2 linked regions of the Rattus norvegicus genome follow. The main gene of each other region encodes a partner of the protein of the gene in region 2 in a complex. Links are inferred from orthologs where the notes say so. Each region holds a gene or a part of one and is shown on either strand. Other genes may lie near its edges.

Region 1 (4,157 bases), on a different chromosome or scaffold from region 2:
AAGTTCTCTGACTAACCCATTAAACTCCTCCTGTTTTGAGGGCCTTGTCTGAGTCACCCTGGTGCCTGGGAGGCTGGCACGGGACTAGAGTCACTTTACCCATGTCTGTGGCATGCTTTTCCTACTTCCTTTGTTCATTCCTTGAATAGTTCTTAGGCACCTACTATGTGCATGGCTCTGGGCTAAGCCTTGGGATACAGCAGGGGATGAGACATTCAGGATTCTTAATGGGGAGGGGCAGGTGACACGGGAAGAGGACTATAGTAGAAACCAAATATGCAAGCAAGGCATTCGGGGCCTGAGTGTTGGCCAGAGAGCTAAGACTTACTCGAGCTCTCGAGCTCTGACTGACTACTTGACTTTGTGCTTCTTGCCTTCACTAGACCTAGGTTTCTAACTGACCCCAGAGATTTCTGGCTAGTGTGAGGACAGAGGTTCAGCGACCAACTGCCGAGATGGAACCCCAGTCAAGGCTGGCCAAAGGTATTTCAATGTTTGGAATGACACTTTGTTTAATCTGAGACTATCCGGGGGCCCAGGACGTAGAGCTGCTATAATGTTACAACCAAAACAGTTACTTTGTCACTAGGCAAAGGTTAGCCACTGAATTCCCTGCTCCCTAGGTGCTGGCGTGCCAAGTGCTCTCAGAGACTGGACTTAAACGCGTGCTCGTTCAGCAAGGTGCAGTAAACTCTTTCCCACAGTCGGTGAACACTCACCTGGCACGCGCCCGCCGTGGGATCGCTCTTTTCCTGCTGCCCTAGGAGGCAAGCCGGTGGTCGCCGCTCTCTTCAGGGGAGCACATGGACGCTCACCCTCGGTATGGCTCAGCCATTTAGGAGTCCAGTCTCACTCAGGGAGCACTTTTAACCCCACCGAGTGCATCGGCCTGGCTCCGCACTCTAGAGAGTTTGGGATTTTCCAGATTACGACCGGCACACGCTGCGCCGTAGGGGGGCACAGGCTGGGGCACCCAGGACCACGCCAGCACAATCCCGCGAGTGGGTAGGGCTGTCATCTTGATGGCAAGAGGGCGGAGCCGGGCTGGACTAGAAAAGTGGGGGTTTGGATTCCGGCTGTTGGATGGTGGGGTTTGTACGTGACAGTCCGGGCGGTGTTTGATAGGCTGGGGCCTTTTCAGGCGGGCCAATCAGTACGATGGGCGGGGCCTACGTGGCGCCGTCGGTAGGCGTCCGGCGCTGCCCAGTGTGGCTGTGGCGCCGCCCGCCTCGGACGCTTGGAACTGTCGCGTCTGTGTCGCCTGTCGCCCATCGCCTGCCGCCGCTGCCAGCCACCAGCAACCATGAGCGCGCCCGGCCCCGGTGTAGTCTGCTGTCCTCTAGATTAGTGCTCTCCTCCGCGACGGTCCGCAGCATGGAGTCGCCCGCCGCCAGCCCGCCGGCCAGCTTGCCTCAGACCAAAGGTAGGCTCTCCCGCCCTACCGCGCGGCCCGAGCCACATTCAATTTGAGCCCGCCCGTGCCCCTGGACTCCTTTCCCGGCTGGGCACAGGCACCCGGACTCCAGCCCAGGACTGGGTCCAGCCCAAGCCAAGCCCGGGACCTCACGGGACCTCATTGGAATTCGGATCTTAGGCCGTGGGATTTCACCCAGGCAGGACCTTGTTCTCCTTACTCCACTCCAAGTCTGGAGCCGCACCGTGAGCTTCTTTCTTGTCCAGGCTTCCGGGCTTCATCCTGGACTCAGCTGGGATTTCTGTGATCCCTGCTAGAGGGTCTTTCGGCTGCACTAACCCCCTCAGGCCAGACTCTTGGATTTTGTTCAGGCTGGAATTTACTCTCTTCTGGGCCCCAGGGCTGTGTTCCCAATGCAGGAAACCTGTCTACTCTTGAATTCAGAACTCCTCTCTTCCAACTCTTTCCATCCTTGTGAGTCCTCCTTTGCCCCATGCCTTGCTGGCCTGCACACTGGCCGCCTGCACTCCTCCCTACCGCTGTACCTGTAGAACTTCCTGGCGTCTCCACTTCGCAGCTCAGCCCATGCTACCTGCTACTTGTTGACTCAGTTGCAATCTTCTCACTGAGTTTTAGGAGCTGACCTCTTTTTTGCACCTAGTGTTTCTTAGTCTGTTGCTCTTAGACCTGCAGTTTGGTCCTTGGGCAAACAGCAGGCCAGGGGCTGACTGTACAAGGCTTGGGCTTGTCTTCTCCAAGTAACTAACTGTCTTTCCTGGAAATTTCTGTGAGGTGGCAGTAGAGCTGCGTGGGCTGCAGCAGCAGCATTTGTCATGGGAAGTGAGGGGGACAAGATTTGGAGGTCAGAAAGCTTTTTTTTTTTTTCCAGGAAGAGAGAAGGATGTTTTAACATGTCAGAGACTCAGTAGGTTGGGCTGCAGAAAAGAGTTCCAAGCTGGACTGTAGATGTGAATGGGTTGACCCTCTGCATCCTGGGCTGCCTCACCTGGCTAGTTTCTGGACATGTCTAGGCCTTATTAATGAAATGGATATCAGGGGTGCGATGTGAGATTGAAGGTAGAGTGATTTGAAGCAAGCATGTCTGAGATGATCAAGGGCCCAACATAGCACCCGGCACATAGTAGGTACCCAGGGGAAAAATAGTTGCTGCACATCCTTGACTGTTTCCAGCTTTCTCAGCCCTGTGGGGTCTGGGCTCAGATTTGGATTGCAGGGGCAGAGCACAGAGGACAGGAATGGTGGGCACTTAAGAGGGTGCTTGTGCAGTGGTAGCCTTCTCTCCTTCTGACTTAGGAAACCTTGACCTCAGGAGTCCTAGTCCTGGTCAGGTTGTCCTGAGCAGGTGGGGGCTTTTTGGGTCCCCTGCAGCTGGCCGCCATGGCTGTGCAGGAGCCTAGTGGGCGGGGTAATTGCGTCTTACATAAGTGGGAGGCCAGATCCCTGACCATTGCCCAACTTCTGTGAGTAACTAGGGAGGCACTTATTGGGGGAGGTGGCTGGGGAGGGACTTGCAGTGCAGACCTCGTGGAACTTGAGAACCAGGAAATCAGATGCTGCTCCACTCAGGAAGGGTTTGGAAGCAGTGTTTGTTTTGGAGGCATTTCAGCTCTTCCAGGCAAAGAGATGCCTCATCAAAATAAAAGTTGCAGTTGCAAATCACAGGGGGAGAGATTGTGAGTGACATTGCAAAGCACTGTGCAGGGAGACGGTGGACTTTTCATGTGCTCGATTGACTTGAGGCCTGGCACTGGATGCCCGGGGCCTCTCTTCTGAGAGGGCTAGTGTGAATTTGCAGGTTGTAGGTTAGGTAACATGATATTGGATGGATTGGGCGGAGGTCCTTTCCAAGGCCCAAGATCCCTGTAGCCTTTTAGGGGTTTGGAGATAGCTGTAGTGAGGGACTGACAATATCCACTTGCTAAAGTTCCAAGAGCTTTTCCTTTTCTTTTTGCCATTGCTTTGTTTGTTACTCATTTGCCTGTGAACAGAGGCTCAGGAACACTAACCATTTACAGAGGCTACACAGCTATGATGGCCCAGCAGAGCTACAGCAGGACTCAATGATGATCTCCCCAGTGTTCCTTCCATTCCCATTCCCATGTGAGGTGCTTAGGGGGTCCATGGGACACTGGTACCCTGGCCCCCTGGCCATCACCCCTATGTTCACTGGACCATGGAGTCTGCTGAAGCAGAGGACCACTTATTGTGCACGCAGTCTTACAAGTGGACACTTCCCTCAATGTGAGCCTGCAACAGATGCAAAGTGGAGAACTTGGCGAGTCCACACCATTATGGATCCTGACAGGAACTCTTTTCCACCTTTGCAGGCGACTTAATTAAAAAAAAATCACACACACACACACACACACACACACACACACACACACACACATGCATACATACATGCCACAGCATAGCACATGTATGGGGTCAGTATACTTTGTGGGTGTCAGTTCTCTCAGTTCAGCCATGTGGATTAGCCCTCCATCATGTGGGTTTCAGGAATGGAACTTAGGTTGTCCAGGCTTGACAGTAAGTACTCTTACCTGCTGGGCCATCTTGCTAGCCTGTTTGCAGAGGACTTTGAACAGAGTAGGGAGTGGTAGCACCTGACCTTTGGCGGGGACTGCAACTTTATCTATGAACTTCCCACTGGACGGTTGTGCCTGCTGTTTGTGCCCGAGCCTAGGAAGTTCTCCCACATGTGTGAGGCATGTAGGTC
Region 2 (3,646 bases):
CCAGCGAGCATCATGTGGTTTGGGGAGCAGTGAAAGGGGAGAGCCACCGCGCCGTTATCTTTTCTATCGTCACTGCTGCAGGTCCCTGCGAGGCTTCAGAGACAGGAACTGAGTCTAGGGGACGTTAGGCTTCAATCCGAGGATGCTAACTGCCGTGCGCTTTGCTCTTTACCTGGGGATCTGTGTTAACCCAAAGGGGCAAATACATACCCTCGTAAGGCAGAGACAGTGAGGCTGGTAATTTCCTGACGTGCTGTAGAAGGAAGGCGGCCAGTCCATTTGCCTTCACTGCGGCGAGATCAAGCAGTCTTCTTGCCTACAGACAACAAAGGAAAGGCCATCACTGTTTTCAAGGAGACCCAGGGAGGAGGAGCAGTGTGGAAAGGTTTCTATTAGAGGTTCGACACCCCTAAACTGAAGACCCCAAATCTGAATGCTCTTAAATCCAAAACCTTTTGAGTGCTGCTAACTAGTACAATGTCATAACTGGAAAATTGAAACACCGTGTAAAATTTCCTTCCAGCCATGCATGTATGAAATATAAATGACTTCTGTCCTTAGACGTGGGTCGGGTTGCCAAGGTATCCATTGTTTATGTAAATATTCTAAACCCCCAAAAATATCTGAAATCCTTCTGGCGTCAAGCATTCAGGATAAAAGAGAAAACAGTACAATCGATACGCAGTCCTCTTCTAGCATAATGAGAGCCCAGAAAAACAACTGCGTTACCGTCTGCACTTAGCAAACAAAGATGATGTCGTCGTGGTTGGTGAGACAAACAAACAGCCAACCTGGCTCCCTCCCAAAACCCACTGAAAGAATGAATAGCTGAAAATTAAAAGCTAAAAAAGGACCAAATAAATACATGAACCTGCCAACATACAAAAGCAAAACATGATTTTGGAAGCTGCAGACCTCTGGATAGCAGGTGCTGTACCAGGTCCCATGGCCCAAATGCTTAAACTCTCTCTCTATACAGAACTCACCTTCTTCTCCAGTCTAAACTGTGCTGTGGCTTACCTGGTTAGGTATGGAACCCGCACGCCTAACTGCCCATTTTCTTCCTTTTGAATGTGTCATAAGTATACACACACACACACACACAACACACGTGTGCTGGTCAAGAATGCCAGACACATGCCTTTTCTCATCTCTGCTCAAGTCTTCTCCATTTTTCTAGCTGTTCAGGCCAGCATCTGAGGTCACCTTACAGTTCCTTCTCTGCACATTGTCAGCATGTCCTGTGGTCTCCACCTTCAAAGTACCAGAATCAAGCTGTCCGACAGAAACAGTCCAGCGCATACAAGCAAGGTATATGTGCACTGAGACCTAACAGCCACATGCTTCAGCAACAAGGGCTAGGTGTACTTCGTCACAGATCATACTTAACCACAACATCCAAAATCCTGCCATTTCAACACACTGTCAGCATAAGAAATAGTGGAACGTGTTGCTTTTTTTTTTTCTCTTTTCTGTTACGTCTTCTACAGCTGGTACATTTAGACTCCTGGTGTGGCCCAGCTATATGGCTGTGCTCAGCAGCCATGCAGGAGCAGATGTCTACATGCTATGGAGCCCTGTGTGCATGAGTCCTACTGCTGTCGTGCTCCCAAGCACAGGGCATACCATGGCTTACCTGGGAACTGTACAGCTGCCAGTCTCTGCACTGTTCCTGCCTACAGCCTACTCCCCACACCGCAGTCAGAGGAGAGTGCCTCCTTCCTACTCAGAGGAGAGTACTTTACAGGTCAGTCACACAACCCTGGTTAAAACATCCCGGCCATGGCCCTGTAGTAGAGGCCTGAGTCTAATGGTAAACTCTCCAGAGACAAAGGAGACAGCATCCTTGCCGGTGACCTTGTGAACCCAGACTGCATCTCTTGACTGCTTGACTGCCTCCTCCTCCCCTTGAATGCCCCACTTAGCATTGGCCTCCCTCCTGTTTAATGAGCATGCCCAGTATGCTCCTATTTCAGGCTAGAGTGCTAATCCCCACTGCCCGTGGCAGGCTAAAGGCTAACTCTCTCACCTACTTTAAGTCTTTGCCCAGCTTCTCCCTTCTCAGTGAGAATGCTCTAACAACCTTACAGGAAGGTGAAGTCACTACTTCACACCGTGGGGACTCTCTCCACTGCACACAGCACTTTCCAAAACTCTGCGATCTCCTATGGGCTATCCCCAGCTGAGGTGTGAGCATCACAGCAGGTTTTCTGTCTTATTCACTGACTTAGTCCCGATGATGGAGGCAGTATGAAAGGACTCCTGCTAGATGAACAGACAGATGGACAGACAGACAGACAGGAAGATGGACAGATGGGTGGGTGGATTGCTGGATGGATGGACGGACAGACAGATAGATGGATGGTTAAATACATAAGTGGATGGATGGGTGGGTTGGTGGATGGATGGACAGACAAATGGATGGATAGATGGTGAATAGATGGGTGGGTGGATGAATGGATAGATGGATAGATGGGTGGGTGGGCAGATGAATGGCTAGATGGATAGATGGGTAGATAGATGGATGCATAGGTGGCTGGACGGACAAACAAATGAATGGGCAGGTGGATGGATACATGGGTGGATGGTAGAAGACTCCTGAAGGCTAAGTCCTAAGACCAAAATGTTGCTAATGAAAAGCATGCCATGTGCACCCTACAGTCTGCCCAGAGCTCTGGCATGGCAGCATTAAGTATGTCTGTAACACAAGGAGACGGTGAAGACAAGGAACAAGTCCAAGAATTTATGACATAGAGAACCAGCCTTTCTTCCCCATCCCAAAGCACTAGCCAGCTGCTCACTGTCCCTGCCTGCCATGCTGTCTGGAGATCTGCATTCTGAATGGATGAAAAGGGAACTCAGGACAGGGAGAACCCAGGTATAATGCAACAGCCATAACCCAAAGACAGAGTTTAAATGACTGTGTAGAAAATGAATGCCAAGGTTACCTTTCCACTACCCAGGTCACTCATCCTCCAGTTTCCCAGACCTCTGCAATCAGCCTTCACCACAGGCAGAAGGATTTCTATTTGAGGAAGTTGGTAAACCCAGGAGAAAAGTTCTAAAGTTATAAACTATTATATACACTACCATTTCCTAACTACCTATGGTGGAAATCACTGTGGACAGCTTTCACCTGCTTGCTCAGTAAATTTCACAATCTGTCTTTTTAATAATAAGACACATAACCAAGACTTACCTATGCCCAAAGAAAGTATCAAATATAGGAGATCAGAGCCAATTTAATAGGGAAGAGAAGGTTTGAAGGTTTATACAGGGAGTGAGTGATGTCACACAGTGGTAGAGCGATTGTTTTGCATGTGAAAGCTCTGGGTTCCATCAATAGCACAAAAATGTATATAGCATGAATTAAACAACTCAATCAATCATACAAACAAACAAAAAAAACAGTATTATCTTGTCTACATAAAAGATTGCGTTCCCTAAACCAAGAGCAAGTCGCTGTAATAAAGAAACAGTAAAAATAGCCCTTACAGGCTGCAAGTGCCAAAGCAAAGATGAAAACTTCAAGAGTTCAGGGTTGAAAATACCACACAGAAAACTGCAAAAGGCAGCTGTGTGGGTCATGCCTGTAGTCTCAGCACTTGGGAGGACTGCCCCAAATCTGAGGCCAACCTGTGCTACA

Evidence for each region.
Region 1: Nod2 (region 2) and Map2k3 share a complex: the UniProt entries of both Homo sapiens proteins name them as parts of the signaling complex. The link is inferred for Rattus norvegicus from reciprocal best matches to the Homo sapiens genes NOD2 and MAP2K3.

The regions. Positions count from the first base shown.
Region 1 is NC_086028.1:46,106,427-46,110,583, forward strand, and holds the start of Map2k3 (dual specificity mitogen-activated protein kinase kinase 3), read left to right. Parts: upstream 1-1,212; 5' UTR 1,213-1,374; coding exon 1,375-1,423; intron 1,424-4,157. UniProt on the Homo sapiens protein: Dual specificity kinase. Is activated by cytokines and environmental stress in vivo. Catalyzes the concomitant phosphorylation of a threonine and a tyrosine residue in the MAP kinase p38.
Region 2 is NC_086037.1:34,582,641-34,586,286, forward strand, and holds part of Nod2 (nucleotide-binding oligomerization domain-containing protein 2), read right to left. Parts: intron 317-3,646; coding exon 211-316; intron 1-210. UniProt on the Homo sapiens protein: Pattern recognition receptor (PRR) that detects bacterial peptidoglycan fragments and other danger signals and plays an important role in gastrointestinal immunity.